Linked DNA regions of Arabidopsis thaliana. The protein of the gene in region 1 interacts with the protein of each later gene in a pairwise test. Each region holds a gene or a part of one and is shown on either strand. Other genes may lie near its edges. The genes, in order: CPK7 and AT5G44090.

Evidence for each region.
Region 2: the proteins of CPK7 (region 1) and AT5G44090 interact in a protein complementation assay, tested with the Arabidopsis thaliana proteins (one large-scale study listed by BioGRID).

What each region holds. Positions count from the first base shown.
Region 1 is NC_003076.8:4,046,102-4,053,034, forward strand, and holds CPK7 (calmodulin-domain protein kinase 7), read right to left. Parts: upstream 4,543-6,933; 5' UTR 4,247-4,542; intron 3,955-4,246; 5' UTR 3,935-3,954; coding exon 3,419-3,934; intron 3,328-3,418; coding exon 3,204-3,327; intron 3,113-3,203; coding exon 2,969-3,112; intron 2,876-2,968; coding exon 2,723-2,875; intron 2,652-2,722; coding exon 2,536-2,651; intron 2,440-2,535; coding exon 2,272-2,439; intron 2,183-2,271; coding exon 1,949-2,182; intron 1,869-1,948; coding exon 1,716-1,868; 3' UTR 1,412-1,715; downstream 1-1,411. Other genes in the region: AT5G12470 (UvrABC system C protein, putative (DUF3411)), read right to left, coding at 369-437, 641-1,189; NF-YA1 (nuclear factor Y, subunit A1), read right to left, coding at 5,046-5,249, 5,431-5,595, 5,907-5,978, 6,130-6,230, 6,584-6,860. UniProt on the Arabidopsis thaliana protein: May play a role in signal transduction pathways that involve calcium as a second messenger.
Region 2 is NC_003076.8:17,741,948-17,751,229, reverse strand, and holds AT5G44090 (Calcium-binding EF-hand family protein), read left to right. Parts: upstream 1-2,704; 5' UTR 2,705-3,320; coding exon of another isoform or gene 3,321-3,470; 5' UTR 3,471-3,635; coding exon 3,636-3,890; intron 3,891-3,978; coding exon 3,979-4,218; intron 4,219-4,569; coding exon 4,570-4,675; intron 4,676-4,777; coding exon 4,778-4,877; intron 4,878-5,328; coding exon 5,329-5,434; intron 5,435-5,553; coding exon 5,554-5,644; intron 5,645-5,994; coding exon 5,995-6,136; intron 6,137-6,433; coding exon 6,434-6,581; intron 6,582-6,693; coding exon 6,694-6,803; intron 6,804-7,234; coding exon 7,235-7,391; intron 7,392-7,492; coding exon 7,493-7,618; intron 7,619-7,825; coding exon 7,826-7,966; 3' UTR 7,967-7,979; intron 7,980-8,118; 3' UTR 8,119-8,464; downstream 8,465-9,282. Other genes in the region: ckl7 (casein kinase I-like 7), read left to right, coding at 24-94, 202-263, 349-412, 504-588, 686-812, 910-995, 1,088-1,151, 1,252-1,385 and 1 more.

The DNA.
Region 1 (6,933 bases):
GCCAGATAGTTCAAGGAACTTTGACTTACAAAGTGACAAAGCAGTAAAGGGTGACCTTTTACTTTTATGTTTCTCCAAATTTGCTATTGAACAGTTCAAATATTGGCTCTTACCTCAGAGACAAATCAAATCTCAACTACTTTCATAGTCACGCAAAAACATATGGTGAAAATTTGCAGACCCCATAACAACCACAAACTACCCTTAACCTTTCGTCTACCCGAATGGGTCACCTAAAAGATTTTTGTTCTCAATTTTCTCATCCATCCCTACCATCTCATAATTTCTCATAGTAAGTTCCTGCGATCTGACAAGGACACTTAAACAGAAAGTCACCAAAGGAAAAAGTGAGCAAGAAGAATGATTACCACATCGGCAAAGACAACTTCAAGTTCATTGAAGAAGTTTTCTCTACGCCGTTCATACTCAGCAGCAGTCTGTAACAAAACAAGCAACACATTATGATAAATATCAGCTTGCTCTGGTAGCATTTCAGAGAGAACAAAAGGTGCTCGATTTGTTAAGCAGCCAAGTCACGATTAAAAACCAAAAGCAATCCAGAAATCAGATAAAGAAGGAAAATAAAAATCGAAACTTGCAAGTCAAATTAGTTATCAAGTGAATAAGAGAAAGGAGAGACCTTGGTGAAGATTCCAACACCACATTCCATGGCGAGTTTAGCCATGAAGAGATCATCAGCCAACAATCTTTCCCTAAACCCACCAAACTGCATCAGCCACCGCATCACAGCCGATTTCTGAAGCTCCAGGAACCGAGTGATAACCGATCCAGGAATCCGACCCGCCTCAATAGCAGCCGCTAGATCTTTGGGAAGACTCTCCAATTCAATCCCAGACTCCTTCAACAAAAGCATCGCCTCGTTCCTGTTCCTATCCCTGTCCTCGTCACCGTGTCCATCTCCATCATTCTTACCTCCATCGCCACCACCACCACCACCACTAAGACCTCCTCCGTTGTTATCAGAGCCGCCGTTACCACTTGAAGCGGATAAAACAGGGGTAATAGGTACACGGCGGTTAAAAGAGATTGACTTTGCAGAGATTACACCGTTAAAAGAGGAAGATGAAGAGAGTCTAGGAAACGAAGCGATGTGAGGCCATGTCAGATTGGATTCAGAGATAGCTGTGTTCGGTGTTGGAACACAGAAGAAGCAGGAAGCGATTGCCATTGATGCTACAGACAGCGAGAAACGAAAAAGAGATCTTTGAAACTGGAACTGAAACTGAAAGTCGTCTGGTTCAGTCTCTCTCTCTGTAGGTAGAGGCGGACGATTGAGAGAAGTGGAGAGTCAGCGAAAAAGAAGAATCTTTCTTTCGGAGTTTTAAGGGTTTTTTCTTATTTTATATATCTGGTGGACCTCACTATCGAGAGAATCCAACTGGCGCGTGTCTTTCACGAAGCATCTTACACCATCTTATAAATATATGAATTACAATCACAAAACTCGTATCTTTGGAATCTCAGAAACTTGTTCGACATCATCATCAATCACATCGCTGTCCATTGAAGAACTTTTCAAACAAATTGAAAGCCCTAAACAAAACCTACGACCACGACCAATCTTTCTATCATTACCGTGTTAAATGCTTATAGAACATAATAGTTATTTCTTTTTGACAATGCTGACGCTTCTTTCTTCTTCTTCTTCTGCTGCTGCTTTTTCAAAAAGATTCAAACTTTTGTCTCTTGCTTTCTTAGGTCTCGCCTTCTAATTGCAATGAACCATCTCTCATTAACTTGAGGCTTAAACTGTTGAATCTTTCCCGAGAATACTGTCTTGACGCTTTTCTCCAATCTGTCCCAGCTTTCATCATCGCAACAAACTCTTCATAGCTTATTCGTCCATCCTGATCACACGAAACAAGATATCAAAATGAGTGGAGAAGTCAAGAATGTCGCGCGTTTGAAAAGATTCAGACAGCTTTACCTTGTCGGTATCAACATCTTGCATGATGGCTGCGATTACTTCCTCACTGCTAGTATTATCCAATTCATCATTCAAGGCTTCACGAAGTTCGTCAATCTCTATGTAACCACTCTGGTTCTGATCAAAGAAGTTAAAAGCTTTATGCAAGTGTTCATCATTCGCCATCTTCTTAAGGTGGACTGAAACAGCAACAAACTCGCTATAGTTCAGTGTCCCATCCCCATCAACATCAGTCTGCAGGAAACAAAAAAAAAGAGTTTTAATTTTCAGAAGTGATATAGCACTTGTTTCGAGCTAATCGCTCTGAAATGAAAGATTCATACAGCTTCCATAAGAATTTGAAGATCAGTATCAGCTATCTGTTGTCCAGCTTTTTGAAGTCCATATTTAAGCTCCTCGAGATTTATCTTGCCTCTCTTGTTTACGTCCATCATTTCAAATGCTTCCTTTATCCCTGCTGCTTCCTCCACTGACAAATGTTCAGCTATCACCTAGAAGGACGAAACAAATTTACATTTTCATTTTTGATTCTGAATCAGACTGGAAGCAAATCGATAATCAGTGACATGGTTTAACAGAATCAATACTCGTAGAGCTCGTTTCTTGAGCTTGTTCATAACAGAAAACTGCTTTAGTCTTGCTTTCACAGTCTCCCCAAGAGAGACATTTGGAGCCTTCTTTGCATTCAGTATCCAAGTATGTTCTGCAAATGGAATATTTATTTATGAGTTTACGATTTCAGAAAGCTCAGCCTTGCTGAAAACAGAAGCCTACCGAGAACTTGTGCAGCAGTAAGCCGTTTTTTGGGATCAGGTTCAAGCATCTTTCTCACAAGGTCTTTGGCGCTGTCAGAAACTCTTGGCCATGGATCTCTCTTAAAGTCAATAACTGATCTAATGATCGCTTGAGCCACCCCTTGCTCAGTCTCTGTACCCAAAAGAAAGATAAAAACGTCTGAAAGAGGTCTTAAAGTGAATAAGCCAGAGGAAACAAAGAGAATGCGGTAAAGCATAAACAAACCTGCCCAAAATGGCGGAACACCACAAAGTAGGATATAGAGGATAACTCCAGCGCTCCACACATCGATCTCAGGACCATAGTTTCGCCGCAGCACCTCGGGTGCCATGTAATAAGGACTTCCAACAATCTCATTAAACTGCTCACCTGTTACAGTTTAGAAAATTCAGCTCAAGTAAAGATACACTAATAAATGTGCTCCATTGATACTCATCAAAAGCTGATGTTGTAAATGTACCAGGTTTGAAGAATACAGATAATCCAAAATCAATGGCCTTAAGGGCTGATGTCTCTTTCTTATTTGCAAAAAGAAAGTTCTCTGGTTTGAGATCCCGATGCATCACTCCTTGCTTATGGCATATCTGTAAAGACAAACCAGCGATGTGTGAACATAAAACACAGACAAAAGGAATTGGGGACTTCAGACATTGTAAACACAGCTATATATGGAACCTGAACAACTTCAACAATAGTCTTCATAACCGCAGCAGCAGCCCGCTCAGTGTAATGACCTCTTGCAACAATCCGATCAAACAGTTCCCCTCCTTCACACAACTCCATAACTATATGCACCGCATCATCATCCTCAAAGGAATCCTTCAAAGAGACGACATTTGGGTGTTTAGGCATATGCTTCATAATCTCAACCTCCCTCCTAACATCCTCTATATCAACTGCTGTTCTCAGCTTCTTCTTAGATATGGACTTGCAGGCATACTTCTCACCAGTTTCCTTATCAGTACACAAGTAAGTTATACCAAACTCGCCTCGACCAACCTCACGTCCAAGATCATACTGCAAGGATATATCATGTCCTGTAGGATCTTTCAGCACAGAGAGCTTAAAACCAGCTCCAGATCTATCTGTTGTAGCGTATTCATTGCTGTAAAAAGGATTGTTTTTGTTCTTGGGTTTCCCTTGTTTACTCTGGTTCGTAGCCGAACTCGGATTGCCACAACAATTCCCCATCTAATCAAATCTCAAGGTTCCTGAAAAACCCAGAAAGATTAAAACTTTGAGCACTGTTCTTCAAGGTTCCATTAGTAACTTAAGCCAATAACTATTTCTAATTAACAACATATCCTAAATCAAACAGAACCCTAATCTAATATACTCAAACCAGATTAGTAAACCCTAGCTAAGATCAAAGACAAGGGAAAGAGGGAAAACACAGACCTCAGAACTTATAATGGGTAGAAACATTTAAATGGGTATAAATCAGTTGAAGCAAAAGAAGATATGTAGCTAAAAAGGATAAATTAAAGAGAAAAGTCATCATACGCTGTGAGGAAAAACAAATGCAGTGATAGAGAGAGAAGAAGAGAGGAAGAAGACGAGTCAAAGTCTTCCTCTTTCTCTCTCTTCTTCAAATGACAAAACACACAAATTGACTCTCTTCTTCTTCTTCTTCTTCTTGCTTGCGGGGATTCAAAGAATGACAACTCTTAATTTTTTATGTGTTTCCATATTCTCTTTCATATGCTCTTCGTGTTTTTTGTTGATATAAATAATCGATCTGCCCGTTGTAGATTTAACAACTTCTTTTTTTTCACTGTCCTTTTCAAATCTGGTTTATATGCAAACTTGAAACTTCCATGAGCAAACTATGCAACTTATTGCAAGCTGTTTTTTTTTTCTTTGCAAAACATAATGTTTAATAGGTTTCTTCTACTTTCTAATCACTCTCCTCCGGTCAAATAATGTTTAAGTTGGCGAAAACAGAGAATTTGACTACAAATCTGAAGCATTGTTATAGCCTTGTTAACACTTTGTGGTCAGAAAGGCAAACGATTAAGCAAACGTATTTTTCAATTTTGCAAAAGAGAAAAAAAAGGTCAAAGAATAAAAACAAGACCTACTTGCTATTCCTTAGTCTCTTGTCTCCAAAATCTAACACCTAACATAACTCGCTCTTTGTACATTCATCATAACTGTTAAACCCACACAATATGAGACTCTGACAAGAACAACTAGCAAACACAAAAACGAAAAAGCCAAGAATGATTTGCCGGTTTGAGGCAATGATTATATTAGCCAAAGTGTGTGTCTCTCTCTCCTCTCAGAGCTTTGGCTTTTTTTATTATGGTGCACCAGAAGAATTCAGGGTCTCATTAGAGTCTGTCTCAACTTGTTCAGAGCCTGATGAGTTGGTTGCTGAACCCCTTTCTCTGTCTCTCCCTCCTGCATCCTCTCCCGCTTCTACCTCACTTTTCTTCGCAAACCGGCCTCCACTCGCTCGTGCCCTTCTCATTGCATGCTTGTGTCTTGACTCGTGAAGATATGGCTGTCGCATTTCAAACATAGTCAATACAAGTTTACCGAGCGACAAACCAAACTTGCAAATTCTTAATGCTCATTATCAATCCTTCATATAGCATGGGTCCACTTCTATTATGGACTCTACACCATCCTTAGATTACCAGGACACCAATCAAGTACAATTTTCATAAATGAGAAAAAAATACCTTTCTGTCCCGGATGACTTTCCTCTCTAGCTCTGCCTTGGCACGTGCTTTTCTTCGCCTTAGAATTCCCTCGTACTGCTTTGCATTCACATAAACGGGCTCTTGTGCCATGTCAAGTGGCAGAGCTGTTCTTTCACGAGGCATTCCAAGATATGGACGAAAACCCTGTTTAAACCAATGAACAAAATAAATGCAACAAATAGACTCAGATCATCGAAAACTTTACATATAACTTATAAGACCCCAAGAATCCCCATTAGTTGTTCTCGATAATTTCAGATATAACTTTGGATTCTCAGTTATTTCAGAAATGAACTTTAAAAGCATCTCACTGACTATTGCTGAACCCAGACACATTCCAACAGTAAATAAAATCACCACAAACGGGTACTTAGTGGCAAAAGCGCACATACATCAAATAAACACTGCACCATATGGAACTATTGTAGAGATTGAAAGAGGTTTCGACAAGATACCAATTGCTGATGACCATATGCTCCCATCAATCCCCCATAATATGGATCCTGATATGGGTTTGGGACACAAGCCTGTAAGGAAGTTTTGAGTTTATCATACATATGAAAAGGGCGTTATACAAGATAAATCCTTTTGAGGGACCAATAAGAAGTCAATTTAACAGCTCAAGAACTCATAAAGCATATATATATATATATTAAGGAATGAGAGGAAACCACATACGATATAGTGTCCAACAAGCTCTGGTGGTTGTACAAGTGGCTGATCATGCATGTTACGGATAGAGAGCGCTGGGTCATTTCCTTCCATTCCGTGATTATCTACTGAAGTTGAAGAAAGACACCATTACAAACAAAATAAAGAAATCACAATGCACATATCAACGAGACAGAATCTCCTTGGCATGGATAGAACTATGAAACCCTACAATTACAATGCAAGTATATTTCAAGGACCAGATTCATGAACTTGACACGCCCTATAGTGCCGAATCACACAAATGCCCATTTAATTTCCCTGCCTGCTTGAGGAACAACTCTTCACCAAGTTGCAACATTCCGAACGTGGAACAACATCACTTTCGACAGTGATCACTAGGTCATCCAGTAAAACAGTACTGCAGAAATGATGAATATGAACAATACACCAAGTAGGCCTAAAGACCAAGAACTCAAACCTGAACGAGAGGAAGTTGCAGCTTGTGAATCCTTCCAAGTGCCATCGTTTTCACCATTCAACGCACCGTCTTCAGATGCTGAATGAACATCGTTTGACTCGGAACCATTGGGGCAATCCAAAGAAGAGGAATTTGATGGAATTCCAGAAGGTCTCGCTTGAGGTACAACACCAAAGGAGTTGTTTTTCCACCAGGGCTCTGCATACATCATCGGCTGCTGAACAGCATGGTGATTATTGACTTCCTCTTCGTTTTCTCTTCCCGGTTTTGATTGCATCTCTACATAATCAAGTCAACACATGTTCAGTAACCAATTCAAAATCCAATCAAAAAAAAAAATTCATCACTAA
Region 2 (9,282 bases), about 14 Mb from region 1:
ACTTATCTCTCTTTATATCTCAGGTGTATATCATTGATTTTGGACTAGGGAAGAAATACAGAGACCTTCAGACTCACAAGCACATTCCTTACAGGTAAGAATATGCTGTGTTCTCCCTTTTTCCTTTATCCTTACTCAAGGATCTGCATTTTTGCATCTTGATTTACGTGATCTCAATGGAAATTTCTAATATTTTGGCAGAGAAAACAAAAATCTTACTGGGACAGCTCGGTATGCAAGTGTTAACACTCACCTTGGAGTCGGTAAGAGTGTTGATCTGTGGAATTATATGTATTCATAAAAATTTTCCGTCAAATACTTAATTAGTTTTCGCTGATGTTTAAACAGAACAAAGTCGAAGGGATGATTTGGAATCACTTGGTTATGTTCTTATGTATTTTCTCAAAGGAAGGTTAGCGTCTACAGCTTCTCTACCTGAGTCTGTAAAATTCTGTATATTTTCTTGAACAGAGTTTAAACCATATGTTTTTTTGGGCTATCAGCTTACCTTGGCAGGGATTAAAAGCTGGGACAAAGAAGCAGAAGTATGACAGAATCAGCGAGAAAAAAGTGTCAACTCCTATAGAGGTTAGGTTACAACAACTTGACAAACCGAAAGGATTTTCATTTTGGCATTGGTAGGTAATCTAGCTTTTCTAACTGAGCTTGGAATGTTTCGATGTAGGTATTGTGTAAAAACCAACCGTCCGAGTTCGTTTCATACTTTCATTACTGCCGATCTTTACGGTTTGATGACAAACCTGATTACTCTTACCTCAAGAGGCTTTTCCGTGACTTGTTTATCCGAGAAGGTTCTTATCTTAACATCATTATTCCGAGAAATTTTATTCGCTTACTGTTTCAAGCCACTCTCATCTTATCTTTTTCATATTGTTGAAACTCTTACAGGTTATCAATTCGATTATGTATTTGACTGGACAGTCTTAAAGTATCCTCAAATCGGATCCAGCTCTGGTTCTAGTTCACGAACAAGGGTGATTATTAAAAATCTTATACTTGTGTTTTTACCCTCATGGTTTTTGAGTTTCTCTGTACTTACGTAAATGTAAATCTTTGGATTTTCCAGCATCATACAACAGCGAAACCCGGATTCAACGCAGATCCTATTGAAAGACAAGAGAGGATCCTAGGTAAAATTCTGCTTTTCCTACTTCTATTAAAAATCTCAAAACCATACACATCCATTCCTCACTCTAATTTCTACTCTTTTTTTATTTACCATTCGTGTAGGAAAGGAAACAACCCGATATAAAATCCCAGGTGCAGTGGAGGCATTCTCCAGAAGACACCCGACTACAACTTCTTCGCCTCGAGATCGTTCTAGATCAAGAAACTCAGACGACGGACCTTTCTCTAAGCAGACAGTAAAAATCTTACTCTTTACATACATTGTTGATCAGAACCGCTAAATAAGACAAAGACCTAACTGTGTTTGTTTTATTTGTGCAGCATGGAGACTCCGAAAGAGCAAACAGTTCCTCAAGATATAGAGCATCTTCTTCTAGGAAAGCCGTTGCTGCTTCAAGCTCCCGGCCAAGTTCTGCAGGTGGACCAAGCGAAAGCCGAACTTCAAGTCGTCTGGTTTCCTCAAGCGGTGGTGGTGGCAGCGGCAGTGGAAATGGCCGTCCCTCAACTAGCCAGAGAGTGCAAGCTGGATATGAATCCAAGACTCTGTCTTTCTCTCGTGCAACAGCGGCAAGAAACACTCGGGAAGATCAATTAAGAAGCTTCGAGCTTCTCTCTCTTCGGAAATAAAGGAAAATGATGGAGAGAGAGACAGCAAACTCCATGAAAACCCAAAGAAATTACCTCTGAAGAAAGATGAGAATCTTGGTTTGAGGGAATTCATATATTTGAACCTGATGAAATCCTCAGATCTTTTTACATGTAATTTCAGCTTCAGCTTGCAGAGATCTTTTTCACTCGTTTTGTTTATGTAATCGTGATATGTGTTAGACAAACATAACAATCAAAAATGTAGAGAGAGTTTCCATGTAAAAACGGTAAAATTTCTATCCGTATATTCGATTACTTCGAACCTATCTGTACTGGTACTGTAATAAACAAAACAATCAACTGCTCTTTGGTCTCTTTTAATGCTTCTGTTTTTTTGGGGCAGGCATACTCTGGTCAAATCATGTAAAAACGGTGAAATTTTGGCTTAATAGTAAAATTAGCTCATCTACTTAGTCAAATCATACTTTAGATGACTCCAATCTAAAACTCTTTATTTTTATTTTTTCCATACTTCAAATGTTTACTTATTCACTGATCGTATACTTGAATGGTTATAGTTAAACTCTTCACATTTTGTTAGCGCTCATCTTCGAATAAAGTGGCAAAACTGAATTTCATATTGAAGTTACACATATAAAATACATTCATTTTTAGATTCATATGATCTACTCCTACATACTTTTGCATTTCGACTAAAAAAGCAAGTGCTCCAATACAATTTTTGAGAAATGACAAATATTCATCATCATTCTTCAAAACTAGGTTTACACATGTGAAGTCACATTTTTATGACTTTAATGAATCAGTTGCAATCTTGATGATAACAGTCGAAACGTCATGAAGTTTAACAACCAAACAAACAATTTGATCGCTAATTTCTGCGATTTATTAATTGACTCGAGACTCAAATAAACATGATCGCAAAAACGGATAAAGAACGCTGGATTTGGTTGACTTTTTGGTCAACGTTGAGGACTAAAAGTGGAAAACAAAAATACCACCACCACCGCTAGTACTACTGCGTCTGAGACTGAGAGAGAGTATTAAAATCAAAATTAAATACTTTTTCCTTTTTAATTCATTTTCTCATCAATAACACAATCTCCCTGGAAAAATTCTCTACGACTTCCTCTCGTCGTCGAGCTTGTTATTGATCGGAGAGAGAGATCAGTGTTCTTTGGATCTTCCAATTTCTTCCACGTTTGTGCTTGAATTGCAGAAGAAGTTTTGTATAGGACTCTGTTTTGCTTGTTGATAGAATTTGGGAATCTAGGGTTTATCGAATCGTTTATTTTGGTTTTCGTTTAGTTTCTCTTCTTCGAGCTGGTGTTTCTCAACTAGTTAGAGAGTTTCTCGATTGGTCAGAGCTGCTTTTATTGAATTTTCTTTGGATTTCGTGCTTATAGATCTTTGAAAAGTCTGAGAATCCTGTTTTGGAGTTACTGCTTCAAGTTATTGGAAGAAATTAGGGTTTCGATCCAATTTTAGAATTGACTCAAGGAATTCCGATATTGGGGTTTTGTTGTAGTTCTGATTCTCAGTGAATAAGATAGAAGATAATCATGGAAATCGATGGTGGAAACGATGTTCAGATTTTGGATCCTGAGCTCTTGCAGCTTCCCGGTTTGTCTCCTGTATCACTTAAAGAAAATCCTCATATTGCTGAAGAACTCTTCTCCCAGTGGCTTTCACTTCCTGAAACTGGCCGATTGGTAATTTTATTCCCAAGCCTCTGGCTCAGTGGCTCCTTAGCGTCGTTTGGTTTCTTGTTCATTTAATAGTTGGCGCCTGTTTTATGTATATGCTGATACCTGTTCGTAAGTCCTTGTTGTGACTTTATCTGATTTCAAGTCAATTTCTGCAGAGCAAGATTCAACATGCTTATTGCTCTTACTGAATCCTCGGCTGTTGCATATTTAGTAGTTTTGTTTATTTCTTATAGATTTTACTTAGTGTTAGATAAAGAGTGCTTGAATAGCACATTTAGGGGTTATAATGACTTAGGTGATAATAGTACTGGGATATTACAAGGCTCTGCTAAACTTGAGAAGTGTTTGTATTTGTGTAGTACCAGATTTAACTTAAAGCTCCTGAGAATATGGTCCAGTGTTGTATGCCGATTGCCGACTCATGTTGGTGAAGAAACTTTTGGTGGTTGTTTTTCGTTTAAGGTTTTACGTGGTCCTCTTTTAACAGTTCATCTGTGTGATGTTTGTGCAGGTCAAGTCTTTAATTGATGATACTAAATCTAGTACCCCAGTCAGTGTATCCAAAAATTGTACTAGTCTCAATGTTGCTTGCGGGAGTGCATTGCCATCTGTTTTTCTGAACAGCGGCACTCCCCCACTATCCCCACGAGGCTCACCTGGGTCTCCCCGTTTCTCGAGGCAAAAGACAAGCCCTTCTCTACAGTCTCCTCTGAAATCAGTCAGGGAACCAAAGCGCCAACTCATTCCACAGGTTCGATTTTTTATCCAACTGCTCCTCATATGGATGTCTTACAAACAACATGAGAAGGCACTACCTTGCTTGACAGTTGACATCATGATTTGATTGTTTTATATATGCTCACGTAATTGTTGAAACTAGACTGTAATAGTTTTCTAAGTAGATGGAGAACCACGAGAACAAATACAATAGAAACTAAATTCTTCGTTCAAGTAGCATAGGTACAATTTTTTTTTTAACAAAACGATGACAACAAGTAAGTTTATTATGGTCATCCGTTTGACATCTTACATAGTTGAAGGGTTTAGCTAATATTGTTCAACATTCTTGTTTGACGCTTCTATGCCTTGATATGCTATGCAGTTTTACTTCCAACATGGACGTCCACCTGCGAAGGAACTAAGGGAGCAATGTATATCCATGGTTGATCAATTTTTTAGTAACTATATAGACGGACTTCATATGGATGGTGATGTTTAAATACAAGCTTTTTTACATCACAGTCCCGTTCTGTAATGAATAGACAAACAGTTGATCTTACAAACACATTCTTGCTATTGTTCAATTGCAGAATTCAAATCCATTACTAAAGAAGTCTGCAAGCTGCCTTCTTTTCTTTCCTCTGTACTATTTAGAAAGATAGACACGAGTGGCACCGGTATCGTTACAAGGTAAATCATTGTGTTCTTTCTTTTCATATGTAATTGTAGTTAAATGTATATATCCACTGGTATTCATATGTGTTTCATGTAATATAATAATAGATCACATTGGTCTGGATTTCCAGATGCACGCTCAGCTATTTGTTTCATAAATTGCTCACCCTTAAAAGAAATGGAATGTGGCATAGTAATTTTAATACCTGATTGTTATCTTTTTATTTATTTATGCCACTCGAATATAATTTCTTTTTACTTTCAATAAATTTAGTGTGCTCGATTTTATATATTGTTTAGAACATTTGTGATAAGTAATATTGAAGTTTCTACCCTGTAGATATTGTTTGGAATTGATACATCTTTAAATTAGCCAAATCATGAGTAATATCATAGAAATATACAGCAGCTGTAATCTTTCTGTTTAGCTAGTATCTTTTAAATACACCATATTTGGTTCCTGCAGGGATGCATTTATCAAGTATTGGGTTGATGGACATATGTTGGCAATGGACGTAGCCTCACAGATATATAATATTTTAAGGCAGCCAGGTTGCAAGTACCTTAGACAGGTCTCTTTGTTTTCTTTTCCCAGCTCTTCACTGCTGTTTTGATTTGTTTACCAATGATTATTGTCTCACTTGATTTCTTTAGTCCTGAAGGCTAATGTCTTCTTTTGGATTTGGGATAGGCTGACTTCAAACCAGTTCTTGATGAGCTTCTGACAACTCATCCCGGCTTGGAATTCCTGAGGAATACACCTGAGTTTCAAGAAAGATATGGTAAGAACTTGGTTTTTGATACATTGATGTTATGGTGTGAAATAGTTCTACCAGAATGTCTGTTTTCTACTAAGACGTTCGTACAATTTCTTTCCATATATATATGATCTTTCAAAACGCATTGACGAACTTGAAAGTGACATCTTTAGCTGGCTTGATTGGCCTAGGCAATAATTCTTCTAATTTTAATTCTATGTACTTGTTCATTATAATTACATTTTGAAAATTATGAGATGCTTCTTAAATATAGTATATTTTCAGGTGCTTACTGTTTTATACATCTATTGACTAATTCATAATTTTTCCCGTGCTTGTTTCATTCATCTCTGTGTTCTATTCCGTCAACCCAGCTGAGACCGTCATCTACAGAATATTTTACTACATAAACAGATCAGGTACTGGTTGCATTACTCTTAGAGAGCTGAAGCGTGGGAATCTTATTACTGCCATGCAACAAGTTGATGAAGAAGACGACATCAATAAAGTTATTAGGTGACTTTGTTTTCCTTTTCATTATTTCTTAAACAATACGTTAAAAAGATTAAGATTTTAGTTTTATTTGTATAATAAAGACCACTTTAAGTTGTTTAAGAATTCAAGCTCAGCAAGGTGTGTAGCATTGTGAGTAATATGGGTAGTGCATAGGTCTTCGAATTGTTTCTTAGACATAAGCACTACCCATAAAACTCATAAAGAGGAAGAAGTGTATTGGTAGTTCATATTGTGATACTGTGGCAAGACATCATGCATGATTTGACCATTCAATATGACCTTTTCTTTACTTTTCAGGTACTTCTCCTATGAGCATTTCTACGTGATATACTGCAGATTTTGGGAACTCGATGGCGACCATGATTTCCTTATTGATAAGGAAAATCTCATCAAATATGGTAATCATGCCCTTACCTACAGGATTGTCGACAGAATATTTTCACAGGTTGGCTCCAGTTGTCAAAATGTTAATGAACACTTTTCTCGAAACTTAATTGTTATCTTATGGAGTGTGTTTCCTTCTTTCTTAATTGAAATTACGGCTGTCTCTCACTCAGGTTCCTAGGAAATTTACAAGCAAAGTTGAGGGGAAGATGAGTTATGAAGATTTTGCATACTTTATTCTCGCTGAGGAGGATAAGTCATCTGAGCCTAGTCTTGAGTATTGGTACATGTCTCTTCCCCTCTTCTCTTTTTGTCTTTAGTGACTTCTCTTTAGCCATTTTGTCCTTTAGCTGCTTAGCTCACAGTATGTCACTATAAATGTATAACTTCTGAGCCAAAACTTGTGGCATATGTGGCCTTCTTGATGATACAAGCCTACCTGATATTTTGAACGCACTAAACATTTAGTAGTACTATTATTTCATGAACATAGGATACCCATCTTGAATCTAAGACATTTTCATTCATCATCTCATGAACCTAGAACATTTTCATTCATCATCTCATGAATCTAGAACATTTTCAGTTGAACCGCTGATATGAGGGCATACCTCGCTGGTATGCTCATCTATCTCCCATCGATGTTAAACACAGGTTCTTGGCAGTTTTTTGTTTTTCGTTTTCCCTTGATATTGATTAAAACCATCTTTGCAGGTTCAAGTGCATAGACCTAGATGGAGATGGGGTGATCACTCCCAACGAGATGCAGTTTTTCTACGAAGAGCAGCTGCATCGCATGGAATGTATAACCCAGGAACCTGTACTCTTTGAAGATATCCTATGTCAAATATTCGACATGATTAAACCAGAGGCAAAATTTCTTTTAAACCATAACATGGTCTTTTGATATTCCTGGCTTGTCTGTTCCTTTGCTCTTATTCGCATCATCAATTTGTCGAATGACTCTTTCAGAAGGAGAACTGCATCACACTCCAGGATCTGAAAGCATCCAAACTTTCTGGAAATATTTTCAATATACTCTTTAACCTGAACAAATTCATGGCGTTTGAAACCCGTGACCCTTTTCTCATTCGTCAGGTAAACATAGGTTTTCTATAGAGTTTTCCTCCCTTTGGTTATTCAATCCTTCGTTTAGCTGTTGAAACTGTTACTACTGAATATTTATTAATGCCATAAAAATTCGCAAAAATTATTATAAGTTCAGATAGTCACCTACTACTGCAGCCGGTTGTATCTGTTCCAGTCTCTGCTACTTCTAAACCAACTTTGTTTTCCATTTGACAGGAACGTGAGAATCCAACATTGACGGAATGGGACCGATTTGCTCAGAGAGAGTATGTGAGGTTGTCAATGGAGGAAGATGTGGAGGAAGTCTCGAATGGGAGTGCAGATGTTTGGGATGAACCACTCGAATCTCCATTTTAGTGACTCGTAAGAGGTACTTTGTTCAACACTGGTCAGCATCATGTTCCTTATGCATGTATGAAATAGCAAAATTGATGTGCTCAATGTTACAAGTTTGTATCTTTTGGTATATTAAACGTATTAAAAGCCGTTTTCGTTGCTTTTTTTACTAGTTTCTTGGGAAGAAGAGGGAGAAGTCAGATCTTCTTGGGTGGTAAGAGCCTCGGAAACAATTTTCAGACAGACAACCACGAAAGCCAGTCCATTCCACGGTTCCACCTAGAGATTGGCGACCAAGAGACTTATCCGATGCGTAAGCTTGTGTTAGTTTCATGAAATATTTGTCTTGCTTAGGTTTCTCAGGTTGGACCCTCTTTCAATCTTATGTATATTATTATATACGCCGCTTTATAGTGTTTTGTGGAACCAACAACAACGGTTTTATTTAAAATCGAAAGAACTATGTACAAAGACACTTTTTTTTGTGGGAAGAAATTTACAAACCTTGAAACTTGTTTTACATGATCATTGTTTTTGCTTTTTCCTCATTAGCAAATTTGTGCCTATGATATCAACTACAATTCTCGTATAAACTATAGAATATCAAATCAAATTATATACTATATATCAGTTTTTGATTGGTTTGAGCCGACATTGGTTATTTGTTTGTATAAGAATCATTAAAACTTTGTTTGTCAATATGATATTTTGGAAGATGTGTTAAAAAGTCGTGCATTTTGTTTTAACAAGCATGAACTCACTTTCTATGGCGGTTAAAAATAAGGGAATTTGACACGTTTAGACATTTTTAAAGAATTTTATTCTTTTTGAGGCACTTGTCACGGATGAAGCACTTTTCCAACTTTTTCATTAAACTTTTGACCAATTTATCTCTGAAAATTAAGAAATTATAATAAAAAAAAAAAGTTTCATCTTTCCACGTTCCTTTTTTTTTCTTCTTCTTCGTCGCTTCTTCTTTTCACTCTCTTTCTCTCTCTTCTCATTATTACTTTTTTTCTTTCCTTGCAAAATCAAACATTTGAGAGTTTGTCAAGATCGTGTAGCTTCTGTATTTTTCTTTACGGAGAAGCCTCTCTAAAGAAAACGGAGAATAAATAGTAAGGGTGTCGTTGCGACCACTTTTACATGAGATGTTGGTATCGTCGGCATCACTAGACTAAACGGCGATCACTTTTATAGTCGTTGCGACTCTTTTCATGAGAATGATGATGTTAGTCTCCAGTGGCGGATCTAGAACCATAATTAACCTGGGGCACAACATAGCTAACATATAAATTTTAAAAATAAAATACAATATAAACATTTTTTAAAAGACA